Linked DNA regions of Drosophila melanogaster. The protein of the gene in region 2 purifies or fractionates together with the protein of the main gene of each other region. This does not show direct contact. Each region holds a gene or a part of one and is shown on either strand. Other genes may lie near its edges.

Evidence for each region.
Region 1: the proteins of orb2 (region 2) and CG4612 purify together in Drosophila melanogaster (affinity purification with western blotting; 2 studies listed by BioGRID, with this or other methods). This does not show direct contact.
Region 3: the proteins of orb2 (region 2) and Rbp6 purify together in Drosophila melanogaster (affinity purification with western blotting; 2 studies listed by BioGRID, with this or other methods). This does not show direct contact.
Region 4: the proteins of orb2 (region 2) and CG13928 purify together in Drosophila melanogaster (affinity purification with western blotting; 3 studies listed by BioGRID, with this or other methods). This does not show direct contact.

What each region holds. Positions count from the first base shown.
Region 1 is NT_033778.4:24,520,895-24,528,436, forward strand, and holds CG4612 (uncharacterized protein), read right to left. Parts: upstream 5,196-7,542; 5' UTR 4,821-5,195; intron 4,758-4,820; 5' UTR 4,579-4,757; coding exon 3,880-4,578; intron 3,649-3,879; coding exon 3,424-3,648; 3' UTR 980-3,423; downstream 1-979. Other genes in the region: Ir60d (ionotropic receptor 60d), read left to right, coding at 1-253; Brca2 (BRCA2, DNA repair associated), read left to right, coding at 5,407-6,151, 6,212-6,283, 6,343-7,542.
Region 2 is NT_037436.4:8,949,788-8,955,339, forward strand, and holds the start of orb2 (orb2), read right to left. Parts: upstream 3,448-5,552; 5' UTR 3,032-3,447; intron 1-3,031. Other genes in the region: GNBP3 (Gram-negative bacteria binding protein 3), read left to right, coding at 5,239-5,552. UniProt on the Drosophila melanogaster protein: RNA-binding protein involved in translational regulation and required for long-term memory. Required in mushroom body gamma neurons for long-term memory in male courtship. Binds to mRNA 3'-UTRs.
Region 3 is NT_037436.4:17,234,549-17,240,064, forward strand, and holds the start of Rbp6 (RNA-binding protein 6), read right to left. Parts: upstream 3,665-5,516; 5' UTR 3,284-3,664; intron 1,515-3,283; 5' UTR 890-1,514; coding exon 804-889; intron 1-803. Other genes in the region: Afg3l2 (AFG3 like matrix AAA peptidase subunit 2), read right to left, coding at 4,563-5,516. UniProt on the Drosophila melanogaster protein: RNA binding protein that regulates the expression of target mRNAs at the translation level. May play a role in the proliferation and maintenance of stem cells in the central nervous system.
Region 4 is NT_037436.4:1,625,291-1,630,792, reverse strand, and holds CG13928 (uncharacterized protein), read left to right. Parts: upstream 1-2,415; 5' UTR 2,416-2,843; coding exon 2,844-3,581; 3' UTR 3,582-5,002; downstream 5,003-5,502. Other genes in the region: GC (gamma-glutamyl carboxylase), read left to right, coding at 5,132-5,502.

The DNA.
Region 1 (7,542 bases), on a different chromosome or scaffold from region 2:
CCTTCTCCGCTATGCTGCTCTAACTCGCGAGACCGGACTGTACTATTACTGGTTCCGGCGCAGCTACTACGAACTGGTGGCTCTCGGGAAGATCTCGTACAAGGAGGAGGAGGGTAACCCGTACTGCGATCTCAAGTGGAACGACTTTCGTATCGTGTGGCTGGCCTTCCTGGGAGGAACTATCATTAGTTGTCTGGCGCTCCTATTGGAGGTAGCTCACTACAGGTGGCACTTGGGGAACTCCTCACTCTAAACGGATTATTCGTATCTCCCCAACCAGACTACCAATAAAGGCCACATTACCACGAATGAATGCTAAACGTTCTCTCATTTGCACGGGTTAATGGTTACAGATTTAGTCTTGCCCGTGATTGGAAATTTATTACCAACTCCCAACTACCAACTAGTTTCGGCCCTATAAATGCAGCCCAGCCAGAACTTTTGCAGAAATATGCCGAAGTCGTTGCTTCTAAGATGCGGTTCCATTTAAATATAGCAAACAGTGGTTTGCTTGGGCTTCACTTGTGCCCAACAAGAAGTGCTTTACCTGAACAAAATCCTTGTTTCTCTAAGGCTGGAGCTGTCATTTGAAACCTTACTCTTCCTTGGAGGCGCTGGAGGGAACGATGTCTGCTGGGAGCACTTCGACCTTGAACGCTACCCACACCTGAACTTCAATGCTAATCAAAGTATCTACCTTAAAGGAAGAGTCAGCAGGAAAATGCTAGCTCTGGTTTGCCTGGATTCTGCTGAGGAGACAAACTGAACTACACCGTGGATCCCGCGCCATCGCCCTACCACGATCGCCCTATCACGACCTGTACTACGTTTGGATTGCCTACTTGGGAGGCACCATGATCGGCATAGGGATGCTAGCTGTGGAGATCGCTTGCTTCAAGTGGGATCTATTGAGACGACCACCCATTTAAATGTACTAAGGATAAATCAAATCAAGTTTATAATTAAGAACTCGACGGGTCGCAATTTCAAACACTTTTTGCAAAAGCATTTTTTTATTCAAGTTTCACATGTCTCTGCTCACTGCATCTTGATTTTCATCGTTAAATGTTTTCCGTTTCTTGTTCTTTTTCATTTTTCATTTTTCATTATTCATTTTCGATTGTTTTTAGGTTTGTTAATAAGTAGGTATTCGTAATATGTTATAATTAGGATTTCGCTTCAATGGAATTACATATATAATGCATATATTATACGCCATCCGTGTCGCTATTATCTGTGCTCCTTGTGGGTTCGCTAGTCATTAAAATCGGACTTCGAGGGGCACAAACGCCCCAGTCCAAGCAAAGGTTCAAATAAACTAGGATCTTGTGAGTAGATTCGAATGCAGGTGTCGTGTGTGGTGTGGCATGGTGGTGTCTCATTAGCAAACGTGCACAATTGATTAAACTTGGTGTGGAGTGTGGGATTCAAAATGGGACTCGAAATGGGACTATCAATTAATTTTGTGAGACTGAACAAACATTTCTTGTACTCTAAAAATTTAGCACTATAAAAGGGTTATCCTTGGGTGTTTCTTTCCTTAGTTTCTCGTTTATTTTGTTTTTAGGTAAATTCTGCAAAAGCAATTACCAAAGATGAAGTTCGATTACAATTATAATTCGTAATAATAATAATAAGAAGTATGTTGCATTTGCTTGGCAAAGGAAAATAAATTTCATTTCTTTCTCTTTTGTTTTGTACATTCGTGTAAATATTATTCAATTGCGTAATTTCTCCTGCTTGTCTTGTAAATTCATATTGCATATGTTCTGTGTGAGTTACACTGTGGAGGCCTAATCCTACTTTGTCCTGGAAACTAGAGTCGTAACATCGCCAGCTCCCCGGGGAGCGGGCAACCTAAGCTCAAAATGAAGTGTAATGGAAATAAATATGGTCAAATGAGGGTTCGTTAATTATGCCATCCTAAATATTGCCATCGTTATAACTATTTTATGTCGTTTAATTTTCCTCTTTTGTGTGTGGTACTGTTTAACTATACATTGTGTATATGTCTAGACGCAAAACTTGAATCTTACAAATTTCGAGTGAGTTTAGCGTTGTAGGGTATCTTAATAATTTCCTCTTACTTTTCACTTTGCTCTCGTTTTCTGTTCTCGGAAACACTTTAAAAATTAAGCTCAATAATCTTAAATTATGCATGTATTTGCTTTCATTTCAAACTTGTACACACGCCTGCCTACATACAGCGTGCTTTGAATTATTTCGATTTTGCGATTTCTTTCGTGCCTTGTATCCATAATAATATTCTAAAAGATTTAAACATTGCACTGTGTACACTTCTTCTTGGATTGGTTACATTCAATTAGTTTTTCACTTTCATCTTGTTCACGTTACATTACGGTCGTTACTGTCTTGCTGTCCTGTTTTGTGGTTTCACTTTAGTTTCTGCTACTTGAAACAATGTACAATTAATTACAAAAATGTCTTGTAATCGCTAAAATTTTAATACTCATGTACTGTCCGCAGGATAGGCGCTGGGCCCCTGCTAATTCCATATCGGATCTCTCCTCTCCAGCTCTGACCTATTCCTCGTCCGCATCGGCGTCTACTCTATAAATTACGTGTAGGGTTCGCTTTCGCAATGGTTGCACTTGATTTCCTCGTCAAAAGTTTAGTTATAGCGTAGGGAGTTGTGAGTATTATAAACGCTTTCTAACTACAGCGTGTGGAGTTACATTAGATATATGTATATGTTATGTATATACGTGGAGTGGGTGCTTCACTTGTTAATAGGGGTTACATCAATTGTATTTTTTCCGTTTTTCCATTTTGTTTTTTGTTCTTTTTTTGTTTGTTTTCGTTTTGCTTTGTTTCTTGGTTTAGTTTGGTTTTAATACATATATATTAGGTAAGTGTAAATATTCATATGTTGCCCAGGACTGAGCTGGGCGTAGCTCTAGTTGCGATCGCACGATCTAGACTTAATGCCAAGGGGCCAGTGTGAAAGTTGGCCTTGTGTGGGTAAATACATTTCGAAATACGTGTGTGTACGCAATGTGTTCTTTAGGCGAGAAGCTGACAGCAAAGCCCCTGCTCACTAAATTCAACAGTAAAGACAAACATCTAATTCCAAAAAAACGCTAGTGAGTGCTAAGAAATTGTTGTCCTAATGCCTAGAAAATCCTTTCGGTTGAGAGCTCGTTTTCTGCCTCTCCCTCCCTTTGTTTCTGCCCTGTGTTCTTTCTATAAATTTCAACTGTGTTGCAAGACTTTTGCCTACATCTAAGTGTATATGCGAAGGAGCTGCCTCCCGTCCGTCTGCTGCCTGAATGTCCGCCTAGCTGCTCGATACAATTTCTCGTAAATATCTATATAGGTTTATATATGGGTGTGTATTGTATGTGTGTGGGTTCCAAGTCAACTCCTAGCGATGTCCTTGGATCAGCTGCCGCCGCCGAAGCCTTAGTAGTAGAATATCTGGCCGGCCTTCTGCCGCTTGCGCTCCTCCAGCTTGCGATTGATCTCCTGCTGCCGCTCGGCCTTGCTGAGGGCTCTTGCCACGTACAAGAACTTGTTGTCGCCCAGCTGCTTGCCGTGCAGGCCAATTACGGCGGCCAGCGCCGACTGTGGGTTCTCGTAGGCGACGAAACCGAAACGCCGGGAGCGCCCCTCCTCGTCCAGCATGAGCTGCAAGGATCGGAGAAAGCAAATCGATGATATAAACAAATTAGCACAGATGGGCCAGGTGGAGTCCTCATCTTCCCCGCCGTCACAAACTCCTCGTGGCTACATGGGCATGCGCAGCAATGGCGCAAGAGAGGACTTAAGAGAGTGCAAAACTGTGCCACATGGTTGTCGTCCAACCACCCGGCCCCACGAACATCCCCGTAGGGAAGATGAGGTGACCAAACAACGTACCTTGTGACTGGTGATGCGGCCGTAGGGCTCGAACATCTCGCGCAAATGCTGCTCGGTGAACTCCTCGCTGAGGTTCTTCACATACAGATTCTTGAAGTGCGTGGCCTTCTCCTGCTCCCGGTCCCGCCGTGGTATGAACTTGACCACATGCACCTTCTGATTATTGCACAGCATCCCATTCACCTTCTCGATGGCCGCTCGGGCGGCCTCCTCCGAATCGAAATGCACAAACCCATAGCCGCGTGAATTGCCATCCTCGTCTTTGGCCACATTGCAGTTTAGGATGTTTCCGAACACCGAGAACGTGTCGTACACCGCCTTGTTGTCGATGGACCGCTCCAGGTTCTTGATATAGATCTTGCCACTGTCCGGAGAGCTGTTGCCTCCGCTGCCCCCAGTGGAGCCGCTAGCCAGAGCTCCCCCGCCGACTCCCACGCCCACATTGGCCGAGTGCGAGGACGTGGACGTGTGCCCGCTGCCCAGGGAGTTGTGGCCATGCCGTCCGAGAACAGCGGCGGCCGCCAGGTGGTTACTGGCTGCGTGCCCACCGCCGACGTGGCTCAGGTGACCAGCTGCAGCGGCGTGGTGGTGCAGCTGCTGCTGGTGGTGCGCCGCTGCCAGCGTGTGGTGGTTCAGGGCCGGCTGCTGCTGGTGGTAGTTCGCCGGATTGCCGCGGAACGTCATGGAGTTGACGAACATAATGGCTGCTGGCTGTTTGTGGAGCGTGGTGGCGGCTAGTGGAGTGCTGTAGGTGCTGTAGGTGGATTCTGCGTCCTGGTGGCCGTGGCTCTGGATCTGGATACCGCTGTAGATGGGCCCGAGAATCTTGACGGCGTTCTTGTCCTGGTCCTAGTATTTCACTTCACTTCCCGATTTACCTGGGATGTCGGGAATCTGCGTTATGGCCAATCTAGTCGTAATCCAGCGGAATGCCCACTTACCAGGATTTGCACACGGAATATGACCAAGGATTCGCGGAGTTGAAAAAATCGTTTTTCTCTCGCACAGACTCTTTTCAACGCTCTTCGCTCTCTCTTTCTTTACCTCTCTGGCTCTTCCTTTCGCTCTTTTGTACTTTACTTTTTCTGGGGGCTTTCACTTTTGGGCTGATTCTTTGGGGCTCTGCTGGGCTTTCGCGTAACACTTTCCGGTATTGTTTTCGAGTGGCACCTAAACTAGACTCTTCAGCAATTGCAGCAGTGTAAAACCTGGTTTTTGCAGCTTCGGCGATGGCCCTTTATTATTTAATTGTATTTTATGCAAAAACTGTCGCTACTAGTGATTAGTGATGTTAAAAAACATCGATGCATCTGCCATCGATACGTGAGGCCTTCATGTTCTTGGCCATACCATCGATGACTTTCTCGCTCCCGATTGCTTAGCAAGTCCACCCTCCACAGTTAGCGGATAATGGCCATCAAAGCAACGCTTACCAACACTGCACCCCTTGTTTTGGAAATGCAACCACAAAAGCATTGGACACTTGCTTACTTCAAATAAAACACATTTAAACAATTAGATGACGTGATGGACCAGAATGGCGCATCGGGAAGTCATCCGAACAGGCTATCCCAAGGAAGAGGAGCCCATGCGCGCGAACGTGGCGCCACAGTTTCCGCGGCGGCAAATCGGAGTAACATTATCGACGAAATGGCCAAAATATGCGAAGCCGATCGCCAGACTTTCGCCATCGCTCGACGGACTCGGGGTCACGAGCGGCTTGCGGTGGACAACAGCGACTTCGTCGCCGTGGAGGATCTTATTTTGTCCTACGCAGAGCCCACGCCCGAGGACCAGGTCGAGATGATCATGAGCGACTTTTGCTCGTCTCCAACATACGCAGAGGATGAGGATGAGCCCAGCCATGAGTCGGAGCCGTGGTTTCGATTTCGCAACAAAAGGATCAGAACCTACAGCCGGAAGAGGGATCCCAAAAGCCACAAGGCCGTTCAAAACGAGAAGCGTAGAGGTTCCTCAGGCCTCTCCGTGCAGAGGGATCTCAATACTTCGTTCACATCTATGGCTTGTGATTTCGATGCTTCATCACAGAAGATACACGAGGTCCTTTTGAACCTCAGTCAATACTTTTCCGCGACCGCGACAGCTTCCGGTCCGACTCCTGTCCCATCGCAAATAGATCTGCCAACCGAAGCAAGGCAGGATTCTGGTGACGAGTGTTTCAACGCTGAATTGGAGAACTTGAGGGATGACCTGTTGCAGAGCGGATTTACATTTGAGGCCTCTTTCTATGAAAATGAGCATGAGCAGGAAGGTAGGGAGTGGGATCGATATGGCAAGAAACACATTTGTAACTCCTTTTATATGTACGTAGGTCCAGGAACTATGGCAGACACTATTTATGGCGATAGCATGCAATCGGTTCCCACTACGCGCCTCCGATTGGGTAATTCATATGCAATTTATGTTGTTGCGAAGTTCATTAATATAAACCCTTATTTATAGAAAGTGGAAAACGTAATGTTTGGTCTGATGCAGACTCTACATTGAAAAAAGCTGATGTCGAAATTGCTGAAAATAAGAAACTTTTGATGGGCCAAACGCAAGCAAAAAATGTTGACATAGAGGAGAACACAAACTTCATATTAGAAGGCATACCACTAAGTGAATGGCTAACTCCGATGGAACTGCCCGAGATCTCCAAAGATGTAATCAAACATATACCCGATAAAAAGTTAAAGTTGGAGCCAAGTTCCCAGAAAGAACAAAAAAGTAGCAAAGATTCAAATGCATCAAAGGTTAGAGGAGCCTCAAAACAATCTTGTGATATTAACACGAAAAACGAAGGAACTACTATTCTGGATCAGCCTAATGCTGCAGAGCAAGAAAACCTATTGAACGACGGCGAGCTTCTTGAGGAGTTTCTTTTTAATGATTGGCAACCAATGCAGTGCTCTAATGGCCCATCAACCTCCAAAAACGCAATTCAAGGGCCTAAAGAAAACATCAATTCAATAAATCTGGACGACAAGGAGCAACCAGAAAAGCAGACTCCTAATAAAAGTCAGACCATAAGCAGTCATCAACTTAATGGCATTCGAAAGAAGTCCTTCAAATTTATCGAGGTTTCGGAAGAAATGAAAATTAAAGGCGAAGAGTTTGTAGACAAAGTTGTATCCGGCCTATATCACTTTAGTCACAAGTGCAACTTACGTACTGAGGAATACTCCGATAATCATAGTCAAGTAATGGAATCAACACAGTGTGCGGAATTCAAATCAGCCCCAAGCAAGCCCATCGAAATATTGGATGGTAAGGAAACCTACAATGCAATAGCTAAAGTTGACGTTGGAGAAATAAATGGAAAATTCAGTCCTCTCAATAACGATACTATAGCAGAGCCCGAGTTTTGTGGCTTTCGCACAGCCTCAAATAAGGCAATTCCGATTTCTGAGAAGATGAAAATCAAAACTGCAGAGTTTATGGCTGAGTTTCAATCCAAAGAAACAATTCAACAAAATGATTATTTAGTCCATCAGCCAAATGACAAACCGACGTCTGTTGGACTTGATACAGCCTTAAAAAGATCAATAGAGAGTTCAGAGGAAATGCGATCGAAAGCTTCCAAGTTGGTGGTCGTTGATACTACAATGCGGGAACCGCATCAACCCACACTTGACCCAGTTTGCCGTGACTTAAATGAAT
Region 2 (5,552 bases):
ATGTGAAAATTGGAGCACGTGGAAATCGGAATCGTTGTGGAGCCGCGCAATCGGAATCCGAGTGTCCCAAACATCAATCAGCGGCACATGAAAAGATAGTGAAGTAGAAAGACGAAACGTTAGGCGGGTATATAGGTAGGTAGGTAGACAGGCGATATGTTGATCATATTTTGGCCTGAACACTTGCTGTTTTCGAAATGTCAACGTCATGCGTGTGTTGTTAGGGGGAAACGAGCCCCTCCACCTCCTCCACACGCCCACTTTTCGCCGCACAACACCCCCCCCCCCCCCCTTTCTCATTTGCCATCGCAGCACTAGAGCCGCACGTAATTGCGTTTAAAAATAAATAAATCGTACGGGGAAAAGGCGAAAAAAAAAGCAGCAGTGGCAGCAACAACAAAGCGACCAAAGCAGCAGCAATAGCTATTTGACATTAATTTTTATTTTGCTATTTTTAAAACCCTTAATACATTTTTACCAGTGACCGTTTGGACGATCTTCGCCAGCTCATCAGAAAATCATTTCAAAGAAAATTTATTTTCGCAGAGCATTTTACCATTTAACGATGAAAGGAAAATTTATAAGAAAATATAAGTTACAAATTGGGTGAATAGTTTCACTCCAATATGCTGACAAAACATTGTATATTAAAATACTAATATATTCAACTAAATAAGCATATGCTTAAAAAACTGGGATAAATGTATATATCCCATTGAACTTTAAATTCTAAATTGGCTATTAGAAACTGACGGTTTGCACAGAGCGCATTGGTAATTGCGTTTCGATGTGACTGAGCTATTTTTATGGCCAACAAGAAATTCCCTATCTATTCACGTTCTTTAATCGGGCTAACAACGAAAAGCCAAAGATAAAATGGGTCACAAAATGTGCAATGCGTGTTGTGGGAAAAAAGTGAAAGAAAAAAACAATGGAACCGAACAGCAATCAATCATATTATTGATAAAAGCAAACTTGGCAAGCGACGGGCCAAAAATAACAAATAAACAAGTGCTATTCTAAACTTTTGCCTTTCGTATTTTGTGCATGAGTAATAAAAGTGTGTAGATATGGCCTGATAATGGGGTATAGCGAGTTCTAAATTGGTAGCGCTAGTCAAGTGAAAACCCGCCTGGTGGGGGGATTACAATTGATCGCTTTTCCAATTACAAAAGCCACCCCCGGAGGCAAACGATTTTCAGAGCCCGCTGTTCCCGATGTCGGTCAAATATGCTACCCGTTTTGCATATAATACGCGCAGCATATAGAAACACTGAGGGAAATAGGTGCCACACATTGCTATGTTTAGTTTCTCAAAATATGCAATTTAAATCAAAATTAAACTATTATAATGTGGTCAAAGTATTATTATAAATAATTCAATAAAATATTTTAATCATAAATAAAGTATTGTTCCAAAATACTCGAAAAAAAACTGTTTTTGAACAAAATATTGCCTACTTAAAGGAGCATTTACATATGATATGTATTGTTTTCTTCTTAAGCTTCTTACATTTTAAGTCCAAAAATAAGATATGCAAAGTATCTGAAAATTTCGTTGAGTGCACTAAACTATCCAATTTCTAAAGCTTTTCGTCTGTCCCTGGACACGCACTTCATTTTGGGCTGAGCGACCGGAAAACGTCTATTGTTCTGAAAAAGGGGGGAGATGGGCAGACAGAGGCTCTTAATTAGTTAAATGCGGAGAGACAACGAAATCGCTGTGCCAATGAAATGGCTCAGTCGGGCATGAAAAACAGACCGCAGGTGCCCCACACTTTTCCAGTTTTTGAAACTGGGCTGGGGATGTAGACAAAAGGAAAATAAAACTGGCATAATCAATACACAATTTTGCCCTACAAACGAGACGAGAGCGACCCCCAAAAAATAGCCGAAGAAGGAACGACGACGACGTACAGCAATAACAACAACAAAGACAGTAACGCCCCCATGGAGCGCACACACACACACACACCACGAAGCACTCACATACACACAGGCGTATCACACGCACACTTCAAAAGTAAACAAGTGTAATGTGCCGCCAAAAGCACAGACTGCTTGGCTCAGCTTCAAAAAGAGCGGCGGCTTAGGATTGGGGCATTATTTTAGGGGTACTTTCCCAAGTTTCACAGCTTCTTCTACAAAATATACTTGGCAGTAGTTAAGGAGTTATTTTCTAGATCAGTTTTTCTTTTTTTTTACATCTTTGGTTTTCTGTATTTTTTAGTTGGTATTGAATTTAACATTTCTTTATTGTATCGTTTTCAAAATTTATTTAGTTTTTCCATTTAGGGTGTGCAGCAGCGAATAGTAAATCTTAACTCGTATTTGTTGATAATGCTTTAAAGTGATACGAAGAAACCCATTAAAAAACTACCCCTGAATGTGGCCAAGTGTTAATTTATAAAACCAGTTATTCTACCTGCCACCCCAAAAAATTCGAAATTTTGTTTACCAACTCGAGAGCTCAGAAACCGAGAAAAGTGGAAGAGCCGCTCATCTTCAACTGAAATGCAATTGTATCTTTGTATCTCTATCTGTAGCTATGAGTGTGCAAACAAATTTGGTTGAAAGGCTCTTGGCAAATGAAGTTTGTTTTTGTTTGTCATGCTGCTGCTGCTGTTTTTTATTCTCCCCTTTTTGGTTTTGGTCCCACACCCACCCCTCTGGAAATATTATGCTTTGTGTGCACTTCTATTATCACGTCTGCAATTAGAGCCAAAGTAACTGGGCCAAGTTGCAGCTTTCAGCCAGCTTTTCTCGTGCTTGCTTCACGGGGTTGGAGATTTTTTAGGGGTTTATTGCGGCGTTTGCTTTGCTCCACCGATTCGTTGCCGTATTTGCCAGTTGCCCCAGTTCCAATTGGTTACGTACACACTCTCTCACACACACACACTCGCACGCACACTCACTTAATATACACACGCGCTGACGGTAGATAATGCCAGCCCTGGATAAAAACTGGGGCAAATAAGTCCGAATTTTAAATAGGATTTTTGACAGGTGCACTGAATAGCGGATAACTAACCTTTTGCTGCGTTATTCAATTTATTTTTTTTTGTGTTATGTCGAATGCCGAGAGCGCACGAAGATGGAAAACACGACGAAAACTTTCAGGTGCAAGTTTTTCCTGCGCCAGTGTGCGTGTTACATTTCCGGGGGTGCACACTCACACAAACGCACAGCCTGTGACGTAGGAAAATTCCTTTGCACTCGATTCTCTCTTTCCGTACAACGGTAACTATTTTTAACACAGCACTAATAAGCGATTTACACTGGTAATTTTTGGTTATAAAACGATTTTAACTATTTACACTTTTGACTAATTTACGCTATTTAGTTGCATTTAATTTTCAAATTTAAGAAGAGCGCCCTGACGCGTTGTTTTCTTTCCTGATTTTCCCGAGCTGCGGTCCCTTCCGCTCGTCAGCAACGACTGTGATGCCAAAAGTTTTCACTGCTGCCCGCTTTTCCACGAAGCTGCCACTCGCCCGAAGACGCACGACGAAAAATCAATCATTCTCGCTTGTTTTGCTTTCGTGCGATGCACTGTAGGCTTAATGGTACCTTTTTGTGGCCAAAATTAATAACTTTAAATCGGAGAGATATTTTGTTTATGTTATTTGCATTGGGTGACACTAGCCCATATCTTTTATAGTACCAAAAATTCTGGTCGTGGCACCGCCCCTTATATTAAATTAACTCGTTTTTTTATTGAGATTTCTCTATTTTCAGTTTAAATCTCAAGTTAAACATAAGTTTTTGTTTCAGCTAATATACCTAAAAGCGCTATTTACAACACTCAATTACAGAATGGAGTTTTGGCCACAAAAAGGTACCATTCAGCCTATAGTGCGTTGTTTGGAACCCCTTCTGCCATAACAAACCATCCAACGAGCCAATCGATTTATCGATAACTTTACATGTCACTCGTAATTAGCAAGGAAAATAAATAATGGCCCCAATGTTGTAATAATTAAGCTAAGCACAGCAATTATGTGTAATTCAGCCCTATAGAAAATTATATAAAGCGCTATGTTGTCTGGCAACGCCACAGCTGTTTTCATAGCGCAGAAACAACAACAAAGACTGGTCAAAAAGAGCACACACACAAGTGAATTACATAAATCTGCATTACTTACAATAACAAAACAGCTCCAACGATCCAAATGGATATTTGTTTATATCCGCGTTCTTTTGGCAGCAGCACAAACGCACACAACCACGCACATTCAACGACACACGCGCTGCGAATTTGTTATTGTCTTATTGTGTTCTCCTCTTTCTGTTGCGTTTCGCGTTTGGCCAAATCTTTCAAATAATTGCACAAAAACACTGACGAACAACATGCGAAACCACAAAATATACGTGTACGCTGTGTCCTTCTCGCTAATTAAATATTTTACAAAAATATGTTCATGTTTTTGTTTTTTCCCGTGTGTGATATTTTCTACAAATTTTTCTATCGAGAGAACGAAAGCTAATAAGACAAGGAAACGGACGAGACTCAGAATTTCATCGAAATTCGTCGCCTGCTACACGGCGAAGCTTATTATTTCAGAATAGAAGTATTGTTTAAATATTTACCTAATGGCAACAATGGAAACTATTAACAAAAAAATTTAATCTTTCACTGATATGCCCTTATGCCCTTATTACTACAGCGATATACCGCAAGCAAAGTTATCGATATACCACAATACCACAAACAGCTGACACGTTAGAGTTGGGCAACTTCGCTGTTTATTAAGCGGGCTTTTTAAAATCTCTAAAATCATCTTTAATAGAAGGTTGTACATTTTGTCCGTATGTTCTTCTTTATTCTTACTCATACTTCTAAAAGCTTACTCTCAATGGCTGTGATTGGGTAAATCCCAAATTCTTCTTGTGGGAGTGTTGTCGCTCTTCTCTAAACATTGGCAAAAAAATCTCAAATAAATATTACACTTAGAAAATACTACCATTAAAGATATTTATATATAAAAACACCAAAATTATTGTATTTTACTTTTTATTTTCTTGATTAAATCGCCCATTGTTATTTTTAGCTACGATGGCACATACTTGCTTCAACATAGGCTTTAGACTTTAGAATCTGCGATAGCACTTTACGGTGTGTACTTTTTTGCAGTGCACCTTTAACAAACAAGCCTCGACCGGTTCTTGATAAGATTCTCAGATTTTCAAGTCCGAGTTGTCTGACCGCTCATCGCAGTTTTAATTGGTATTCCCACAATGGCGGATGCATTGCGCTTTGTGGCCTGGAGCTGCTGCCTCCAACTGCTGTTCCTGCTCCTTGGCGTTCAGGGGTATGAAGTACCCAAGGCTAAGATCGATGTTTTCTATCCCAAGGGATTCGAGGTCTCAATTCCCGATGAGGAGGGCATCACCCTGTTCGCCTTCCATGGCAAACTAAATGAGGAGATGGAGGGCCTGGAGGCTGGCACCTGGGCACGGGACATTGTCAAAGCGAAAAACGGACGCTGGACCTTCCGGGACCGGATTACGGCTCTAAAGCCTGGCGACACCCTGTACTACTGGACATACGT
Region 3 (5,516 bases), 8.3 Mb from region 2:
GCCAAACTGCACCCCCGACCACCAAGGAGACTACTGCAAACCGATGCAAATTATCAGCAATGCAGCTCGCAATTAATCTACTGCATATGACACCGCAATCACAACTTAACCCATTTTGGCACAAGTATAAATTTTGAATGAGGGGCTGGGAAGCTGGAAGCTGGGGAATCGGACTGATAATAAACTGTTGCCGGAAGGATGAAAGCGAGTCGAGGGCAGCAACTGCATTGCACTAAAGCACTAAGCCGAATGGCTTTAATTGAATTTTGATGTCCTTGGCAAATTGTTTTCTAATTAGTTTCGCAGACTTGGATCCCCAGCTGGGCCATCGTCCATTTCTGGCCGCTTTCGGCCAGTTCCGGACCCAGTTGACATAGAAAACTTTCTGTCAACAACTATAACTGCCTTGACACCGCTCCCCAGGACACGCTCCATTCGCTTCCGGCGCCCTGCGCTTCAATAATGACAAACTTAAAACTTAAACAATTAATGCCACGTCCATGACCTCAAACTAAATAAAAAAGTTCTCGTCCAACTCGACAATGCGAAGTTTGAATGCCCTTTTCTCGAAAAATCTAAGTTAGGGTCTTAGGAAAATATATTTTAATTATGATTTACAGAACTGAAATATAAATTTCGCACATCCTTTTAAGGATGGTGATTTTTAGTGCTTGTAGAGCGAAAGTAATATAAATAAATCGAAGTAAATCTTTTTCTTCTCAAGTTGATTAAAATATATTCTCTACTTTCTGAGATACCCTTTCGCTAGGGTATACATGTACATATAAGAGCAGCACACTTACCCGGGATCATTGGGCACCTCCGAGGGGGAACAGGGTCCCAGCTCCACTTGCTGTTGCTGCTGCTGCTGCTCAATCTTGATGTCCATGTTGGGGGTTTTGGCTCGGGATTGAGATTGAGTTGGAGCTGGAGCTGGTGATTGGAGTTTGCAGTTGGGGCTGAGCTGAGCTGATGTGGTCGTCTGGCTGTCTATTCTATAATTGTTGCTCCAACGCCTTCTGTGCGAGCATCGAGATGCGAGGGGAGGTCGAGTGGTTCTGTGCGGCTGAGTGGCTGTGTTACTGGGTGTTATGTGTGGACGGGGGATGCTGCTACTACGAGTTGGCTAACAGAGTGTTCCCTTAATCATTGGCCACGATGGCTGCTAGTTGGCTGTTCGATTGGCTGCCGGATTCCTTGTTTTCCATTTGGCCTGGCTTTGGTTGGCTTTCCCGCTGATTTTCCACGGCTTTTCTCCTGCTCTAGTTATCGTTTTATTTAGCTTGTTAATTATAATTTGGTTACATTGCACACATTGAATCACATTTCTTGGTTGTTTTGGTTGTTTTGGTTGCTTCGTTTTGCAGGCCACTTTTGGTTTGGTTTAAATATTATTGTGTATTTCGTAACTATTATTTCGTTTGTTGTTTAGACTTTAAGTTTTAGAAACGTTGCGTTAACTTTGGTTGTTGGTTTCCCAATTGATTTGAAGGCAACATATTACTGCAAAAGATCTGTTTCGTTGTGTTTGGTGAAAATTAATTAAATTGCAATTTTAAACTTTGCCCAGGGAAACTTTTGAAAATGCAATTTTCCCCTTCACTCGCTCCCCCTCGCCACTCCTCGCTTTCCCACCCATCCGCAGCTGCTGCACCACCCCCACCCACCCCCTAAAATGCAATGATTCGCAACGAACAATCGTAAAATGCAAAAAAGTGCAACCGATGTGGGAGCGATAGAGAGAGAGAGGGAGGAAAACCGTGGAAAAGCCAGGTGAGGAACGGGTGGGAAAAGGGGGGCGGTTAAGTAACGGCTGAGTGACAATTGGGATGCGGTACTAAGACTGTAAAAGATCTTTGTTTGAAATAAATTTGACTCACTTTACACATATGGCATGAGCCATCAAATTAATTTTCTTAGAATAGGCGTCTCATAAAAAATTAAGAAAACTAAATATAAAAGGTTAAAGATCCAAATGTTTTTCAAAAATTATAAGTATACGTGTTTACTTATTGTGAGCTTGTGTAATAATTATAAAATTCCAAATATTTAGTAAAAAGCTCTCTACTAATTTCATAAATTCCCATCGTTGTTAAATAATCTGAACGATTTTTAACATTAAAAAGGTTTTAAGTGACACTTTTTTTTACGCCAGAAACACCTTGGTTTCCCGAACAATTTTTCGGAAATTCAAAAATGCTGGCATCCAAATTTTATAGCTTTGAACTTTTGCTTGTTAAAGCAATTATTTTCCGTTGCTTTCTCTCCGAAATTATTCGCTTTCCTATATTTTGTGTGTGTTCTTTTTTGCATTTTCTGTGCTTAATACGCGCCTTGATTTTTCCCACACCCACAACAGCAGTAAAAGCAACAACAAATAATAGAAAAAGACAGAGATAGATAGATAGGGAGGTGCGAAAGGGCAAGAAGAACATTGCATGCAGTGACTCCCTCAACAAAAATTACAACAACGCCAGCAACAATATAATAACGCGCAGCATGCAAGCTTTCACGAACAGACACGCACACACACAATCGTACATCAGCACACACACACCCGCACAGGGAACATGCACCGTTACAACGAGAGCAGAAGTTAACTGGCGGCAGCAACAAACACGTGACCCGACAATTGCAATTGCGACAATTGGCAGCACAAAATAAAACAAAATAAACGATAAACTAAAACAGAGCTAAGAGAATCGCCGACAGGGGGCGCTCGATTGATCAGTAATCGAAGTTACCGTTACCGATGTCAGCCATTTTATAAAAGTGATCACAACGAAGATCTCTAATAAAAGGAACGAAAATATTAATCAAATTTAAATTTTATGTAATACACGTGTTTGTTGATTGATTTTACACTAATTGATAAGAGATATTTTGCTTCCTATCTTAAAGCAGAATAAATGCAAATGGCAAAACAAATTTAAATATAATTTTCTTGACAAAATAAATAAACATTAGCATTAAATTCTCCTCCTTGTTCTGTTCATCCTAATGGTCACCATTTGTCATAAATACATAATTTTAATTTTCTAAGAAATCAAACAAGAAGCCTAAAGGAAAGTCTCAGGAAAAATAAAATCCAATAAATCAAACATGAAATCGCTAGGGATTCTCTGCCGCTCTCTTTCTATCGATCAAGTATGGATGTTGCCGTTATTTTGCCGGCCGGCAGCCATTTTGCAGGAAAGATCAACACAAACGCAATGTGTTAGTGAGTGTGAGTGAGAGGGAGGGCGGGGGTGCGAGGGAGAGGTTTGCGCTTTAACTCCTCTACTTCAGCGGTTATTGTAGTTGATTGCAATTAAAATCGAATGCCGCGCACTGTTACTCGTTTTCCCTATTTTTTGTATTTTGTATTTTATATTATATAATCGTCAAATTGCACTCCACACAGCCATCGAGGTAAACAAAATGCAAAATGCCCTCCACAGCAGGGGTTTTCCTTTCGGGCCTCTCGGTTATATTGGTTTGGTATCTTGTACGCGATTTGGTAGTTGTTTTGGTTAAAACGCACGCACTCCCACGAGCGGTACGAACAGCTCTGAAATCGGGCGACTCGAGAGTAATATAGAAACTGCAACGGTTAGTGCAACGCTGGCGTTCCGCTTTTCTCAGTGCGCGCACACGAACGCGACAACCAACAAGACGACACTGAGCGGCGAGACCCCAAAACCCAACTGACGGCCCCAAAACGACCGGCGGCAGCGACGTCGACTGCACTGCTGCACTCTCTGCCTTCGCTGCTGTTGCTGCTGTTGTTGTTGCCGCTGGTGCTGCCCCTACGGAGCTTTGCACCGGCAGAGGCGCCGACTGCGGCAGTTGCACTATTTACCGGCTGCACATGGCGCATGTACTTCAGCATCACAGCTGATAAGTGATAAGCCGCAGCGAGGAAGAGTAGCCGGCGAAAGTTTGCGGAGAAAGCTTACCGAAGAGAGCGGCACTCTCTTAAACCGCGTGCAGCTTTAAAAGCTCACACTGAAAAAAATTTTAACCTGGCACTATCAGTCAACTTAAGAATAAAGCTGGCTATCCCAAAGTTAAGAACAAATTTTGCATTCCAATGTTATCATAACATTTTATTGTATGAAATATACATAATGAAGCAATACATTGTATGTATTTTGCAACTTTTGCTGTTTTCGAAAACGGGTTTAAACCGTAAGGCAGTAACAACACTGATTCGATTATTTTTCGCCTTGATAACATCGTTTAATTTCGCTTTTCCACACTGACAGGTCATTTCCATTCTTTATTGCCATTTTGAAACTACGCATACGGGGAATTTAGTACAGGCTAGCACTTAATTGCTCAACACGGGAACAAGTTATCCATGTGGGTATCTTAAAATTATGCAAAAACAATAATGAACGCGTCGTGGAGAACTGTAACTCCAGAAGGTCTAGGAACTCCTTGAGCCCTGCCTTCTCGATCTGCCACATGTCGGGGTTTTCTCCGGTCCGCGTTTAGGGATTACAACAAAAACAAACAGATGTCGGCACCCTCGAACTACCACACCAAAACTCCCCATCCACATGAGCGAAGATCGTTGCCTAACTGCTCTGGGCAGTTACGGGCTTGGTGGGCGGCGATGATGGCGTGCTGCCAGCGTCCAGAGGCTCCGTTCGTTCCTTTTCCTTGTTCCAGCTCTTGAGGCCTTCGGGCAGAGTGGTGTCCTCCTCGAAGGAGCCGGTACCCTCGACGAACTCCTCGTAGGTTGACTTCTCTTTGAAGGGTCGTGGGCCCAGCAGCTCAATCATATCATCACGGCTGAGCACTTCGTTTTGGAGCAGTCTTTCCGCCACTTTTTGAACATTCTCCTTGTGCTTGGTCAGCAGACTAGTGGTGGCCTCGTGGGCACATTTGATAATCGACCTCACCTCGTTGTCGATCAGCTGCGCTGTGTCCTCCGAGTATGGTTTGCTGAAAACGGGATCACCGGCCTGGCCCACATCGAAGCTGACCTGCCCGACCTTCTCGTTCATGCCGAAACGCACCACCTGGGAGTAGGCAATATCGGTGATCTTCTTTAGATCATCCTGAGCACCAGTGGTAATGCGATTAAAGAACAGCTCTTCGGCCACACGTCCGCCGAGCGTCATGCACATGCGATCGAACAACTGCTCCTTGGACAGCAAGTAGTGATCCTTGGGCAGATACTGGGCGTAGCCCAGACCCTTGCCGCGTGGTATAATCGAGACCTTCAGCAGGGGATCTGCGTGCTCCAGGAACCAACCGGCCACCGCATGGCCAGCCTCGTGGTGTGCCACCGTTCGCTTTTCCTCCGGCGCCAGAACATTGGTCTTCTTCTCCATGCCAGCGATAACACGCTCAATGGCCTGCTCGAAGTGCTTGAGTACGATCGAATCCTTGGAGTCGCGGGCGGCAATCAAAGCAGCTTCGTTGCAAACATTCGCGATGTCAGCGCCTGTGAAGCCTGGTGTCAGTGCAGCCATTTTTCTGCTCAGCTCGTTCTTGTCCAGCGACGTTTTCAGGTTACCCAGATG
Region 4 (5,502 bases), 7.3 Mb from region 2:
GTCCATCTCAACTCACCCAGGCACTTCACATGCATATAACCATTAACAGATATAAATCAATATATGTATGTAATAACCAATGACAAATGTTTAGAAGAGTTTCGATTTTTGTTTGGATTTTAAGCAGACCCGAAAAGAAAACAATTGTATACACAGAAACAACACCCATGAAGCCCCTGAGTACGGAGAGCCCACTGGAGCTCCTGGCATCGCATTGCGATTTCCCGGAGTCCTTTTGGGCGGCGGAGTAATTCCGAAGTAATTCCCGTCTACCAAGACGGACACACAAAACAAAGAAAAACTCTATAAGAATCCCCGAAAGCAACAGACGGCTAATGAGAGTATATATATATATGAACCGTATATAAACAATAATATTACTAATTAATTTAATGATTAATTGCACCCCGAAAATACATAATTATTTAAATAAATAAATAAAAACAAAACCAACGTGTTTTCTAAAGCTGGGTAAGCATATTGATTGAAGTAGGTGGGTATTTAAATGAAAACAATAACTTCATTGTTTTAAATATTAATTATGTGGAAATTTCCCAATGCTGACATGTTCTCCAAGCTCGTGAACCAGATTAACTCCCAAATTGGGCGACAAAGGATGCGCTGCCTAAAAATAGGAGCACACAAAAAGTGTAGCATACTATCCAGCGCACTAAACTGCGCACTTGGTCTGCATACATAAATACCAATTGGGGCGCAGACAGCGTGCAAACAGGGTAATGGAAATAGAAACCCGTCTGCGGTGGGGAGCCTACGCTTATGTCAGACAAGTGGGGGAGCACCAGGCGCCTATTTACCACACACACACACACACTTGCCACACCTGATTAAAATCTATTGACAATGCAGGCGACGCGAAATTGGAGCGGCGCTAACAAGGCTCCACAAAGGAATCGATGGCCCCTGCGACGGAACAGGACCAAAGCCGCCCGGCAACCAGCACTTAATGAAACCCAATTACCGCAGGTGTCCGCCAGGCAAATCCTGGCGGCGGATGGCAAACAATAACAGCTGCTGCCGCAGCACCTGCAAATTTTATTTGCATTTTCCTGCCATTCTAACACCTCCCAACTTTTTCCCAGGGGTATATTGGTTTCTATTAGAAACTTGCTATTCAAATAGTTGGTGTTCTACAAATTTTATAGATTTAAATTGCGAGTTCCACTCGTATGTATACTTGATATGTGCTAACATATTTAAAAATCGATTTGAAAAATGCATAATTGTAAGTCCCTGCATTCCTGGTAACTCTGAGGTCTCAACTCGCAGTCAACGAAAAATCACTTGTTTATTGTTATCAACTTCGATGCCATTTCCCGGCAAGGACATGCGCAAACACCCCCACTTCCGCCCACATCACTTGGCCATCATCCCCTCTGCGACACCAAGGATTAGGGAAAGGAAAAGCAGAAGGGACACATCTCCGAGTGGAGCAGAGTGGCGTATAAATACCACGCAGCTCGTGCGCACAGCCTCAGTTGGCGGACCGTGTTGCTCGCGATTCCCTTTTCCCAGTCGCTGCGTCCGCAGGTGAGAGTTCATCCGGGAAACGGCCAACTGTTGCCAGTTGCACTCGGCGGGTGGCGCGCTGCAGGGAGCAGTATAACGGCCCCAATTACTGCCCCAACTGCAGCAAATTACGGGTGTGAATTTGATTAATTGCCTTGAAAAGCGATTGTGAGCAGAGCAGAAGTGACTGTAAGCCGGGGATTTGATATAACGACTTGTATGTAAAGTTGACCCCATTTCCGCTTTAATTGGCCATAACAACACAAAGTAAGTAGTGCTCTTCGTACGATTTGTACTATAAGTAAAGTTATTGCTACTTCCGAAAGCATGGTAGTATTTAAAGTATTATTTTGGAATTCTAGTTCCACATTCAAGGACAATCTATCATATACAATACAAATCTTTAGAATATGCGATTTATAATTATACAGCATAAAAGCGATGCCAAACTACAGTAAAAATGTTATGCTAACATATCATATCCAAGATTATATTATGTTTCATCAATCTGGCCAGTTAAATATACAAATGTATAAAATGTGAAAAAAACATATAACCTTAAAATCACTGGTGTAACGGTGTTTCAATCCTTCTACTGCACACACTGCACTTACCCCTATTTCCAACACTGTCGTGCAGAGGAGCCCCAATCGAGTGGCACTGGGGGTGAGTGCTGGCGAGAACAAAACTGGTTGCCAGTCGGGTCGGCGGCTGGTCAATCATATGGCGAGAATAGTGGTTAAAGCCACCCCTGGCGTGGCAGCTTTATCGGGGGTTGCATGTGGTGTTGGGATTGCACGGTGTGCCGAGTGTATCCGATTCCGACTTCTATTCCGAATCCGAATCGGCGGACCTGGTCTCGAATTCGGAAACGCAATCGGTGGCTCGCGCACAGTCAGTCTGCAAACTTCGGAGCGTGCGGTTGTCAAGTTTCGGTCGTCTGCGTGTTTTCTCTTTCCCGATTTCAGCACTCTTCCCGCACACACACACACAGCACTCGCCACACACACACACACACACGGACGCAGACACAGGAAGAAGAGTGAGAGAGGGTGGAGCGGAGAGGAGGCGACTTTCGCTCGAATTTCTCGCTTGTTGTTATTGCTGCTGCCTGCTGCTGTTGCCGTTGTTGCTGTGGCCGTAGTGTATATACCCACTGTGTGACTCCACAGTGTGCGTGTGTTTTTTCCTGAAAGTTCGAATTCTCTTTTTCCGCCTGCTTGAATCAGACTCGGGTTCGGATTCAGAATCGAAATCGATAGTCACCAACCAACTAACCAGCCAGCCAACTAACCAATCAACCAACCAAAGTCACCATGGCCGACAACAATAACTGCCCAAAGTGCAAAAAATCGATCGCCGCCAAGGAGGCCACGAGCATCGGGTGCAGCGGCGAGGACTGCCGGAGAAGGTACCACCGCACGTGCGTCAACATCGACGACGCGGTCTTCGAGGCGATCCAGAAGAACTCGATGATATCCTTTCACTGCGACGAGTGCAAAAACCAGTCGCCACGAGCCTTCGCGGCCAAGCTGCACACCATCGAGGAAAAGGTCAATAAGGTGTGCAACGGGGTCAACCAGATCCAGGGCCGTATGTACCAGCAGTACTTCCAGTTTGGCAACCAGCCGCTTCAGGCATTGGGCGCCTCGGCCGCCGGCGTGGGTGGCGGCGGCCTGGGTGGCGGACTGGACGGGAAGAAGCATCCGCAGCAGAACAACCTCATTGTGGTAGGAAACAATTGTAACTCCGACCGACTGCAAGTGGTCTGCGACTACGGGCGCTGGGTGCAGGTGGGCAAGTTCGCCACGAACACCAGCGAGGAGGACGTGATCGATCACCTGGCCGAGGAGCTGAAGATCAACAAGAACCTGGTCAAGTGCACCAAGCTGGTGAAGAACGATGCCAACCTGTCGCAGTTGTCGTACTGCAAGTTCAAGATCTCCATTCCGGACTACCGCTTCAACGAGCTCTTCAACGAGGCCATCTGGCCCAGCGGCGTGATGGTCAGTCCCTTCACTCCGCGCTCCCAGCTCAACCAGAATCGCCTCTAGAGGAACGGGCCCGGCAGCCGGGAGAGCGGTGACCGGGCGAGGGTGAAGCAGGAGCATAGGACAGGCTGAGCAGGATGAGGAGGATGAGCAGCTGGAGAGCAGGTAGCCAAGGGAGAGAGTGCGCCTGCGCAGGGAGCGGATGAATGATTACGAGCAGCAGCAGCAGGAGGAGGAGGAAGAGGAGGAACTGCATCGCGGCCTGGCAAACAAGGGTTGCTATACGGACTGCAGCACACCGCGGATTCCCCCGAGTGCGCCGACTTGGGCTGATTGATGGAGCAGCAGACGGAGGAGCAACTATGTGCCCCCATTGTATGCTAATTTTCGACACTCGAAAACATTGTCTAGATCTTTAAAAGCTTACAGAACCTATCTAATGGAAAACCAAGAGCATATTTATTGAATTAACTTTGAAAATGCATTTTAAAATGTTTTAGCGTTGCGTAAATAACGAAATGAAATCGATAAAGAAAACCAAAAGTATTTTAATGGCAAACTCACAAGTAAAATAGATGTGAAGCAAAAAATATTAGTCATTTATGCATTACTGTCGTACTTAAATTAAAGTAAACCGAAAACAAAACGAGAAAACTAAGGAAACCAACTAAACGTACTTAAAGAGACACTCACACACACACACACACACACACACACACCGAAAGCGGTTATTCAGGCGCGTATTTAAACCATTTACCAATCAAACATTCAACCCAGTCAATCCAGGCACCGAGGTTCTCCCTTCATCTTCATTTTCCAACTCACTTCCGGGGTGTGGGGATCCTACGGATCGACCAGACCTACGGAGATTCTACTACGACGCGTGTGCGACTACCTATCACATTAAGTACTTAACCGTAACCAATATCAAAACCTATATTCAAGCAGACGACGGCTTATATTGTATTCGTATATGTATGTAGTTTGAGGCATTTTCAAAGCTTGTTCCTGTTCCCAAAGACGTTTGGACATTTTGCGAACCACTGCACAGGACACTGGCCAGCAGCTAGACCCATTCAGATTCAGATCGAAAGTATATATATATATGCATTTGCGTTTTCGACGGCCGGCACTCCCAGTTGGGATGTCCGCCGGCCCGGATGGCAGTTATCACAGTTACCACACACGTTCCACACGGACAGGACTAGAGACGAAACTAGAGGAAACGAAGCTGGGCAAATCCGTTGCAATAATAACTCACTGACCGAGTATAATGGATGTACATTTCGTAATTGATCTATTTTTTTACACCGATCCGACAGCAATATTTTCCGTGGACTCCACGCCAGCGATCCGAACAGAACCGTAGATATTTACGCAAGAGTCAGCAAACGAAATGTAAAACACATATATTATATATTTAGTATACAACAATATGCATGCATGTATTTATGTCAACTTTTTCAATAAATTCTACAAAACTTAAATACCAAACAACCATTCGAGGGGATTGATCTTTGGGTCATCTATGGGCAGATCTGTAAGGATAACGTTTACTATACTTGCAAAGGACGTGTTCTTTCGCATTCTTTACAGATTCAAGATTCAGCAGAATGGCCAACTCCAAGCGAAAGCTGCCCACGAAACCCAGTGCCACAGAGGACGCTACTCCGCACAAAGATACACCTAGGTCGTCGGAAGAATTCCCCACAGATGTAAATCACAAGAGTGCCAAGAAGTCCTTCCTTCCTCAAAACGCATTCTTTCGAGATTGCCTCGGTCACGATCTGAGCAACTTCACTAGCCTGACCAACTTTACCAGCTGGCTAAACAGACCCGTAGATGGAGCTGCCCTGGGCATCTTCCGTCTGCTCTACGGAGCAGCCATGCTGATTGACATCGCAGAGGAGCGAGGTGGCGGCCAGCTGGACGTGCGGTTTCAGGAGCCGCTACACTGCCACTTTCCACTGTTCAACGGGATGCG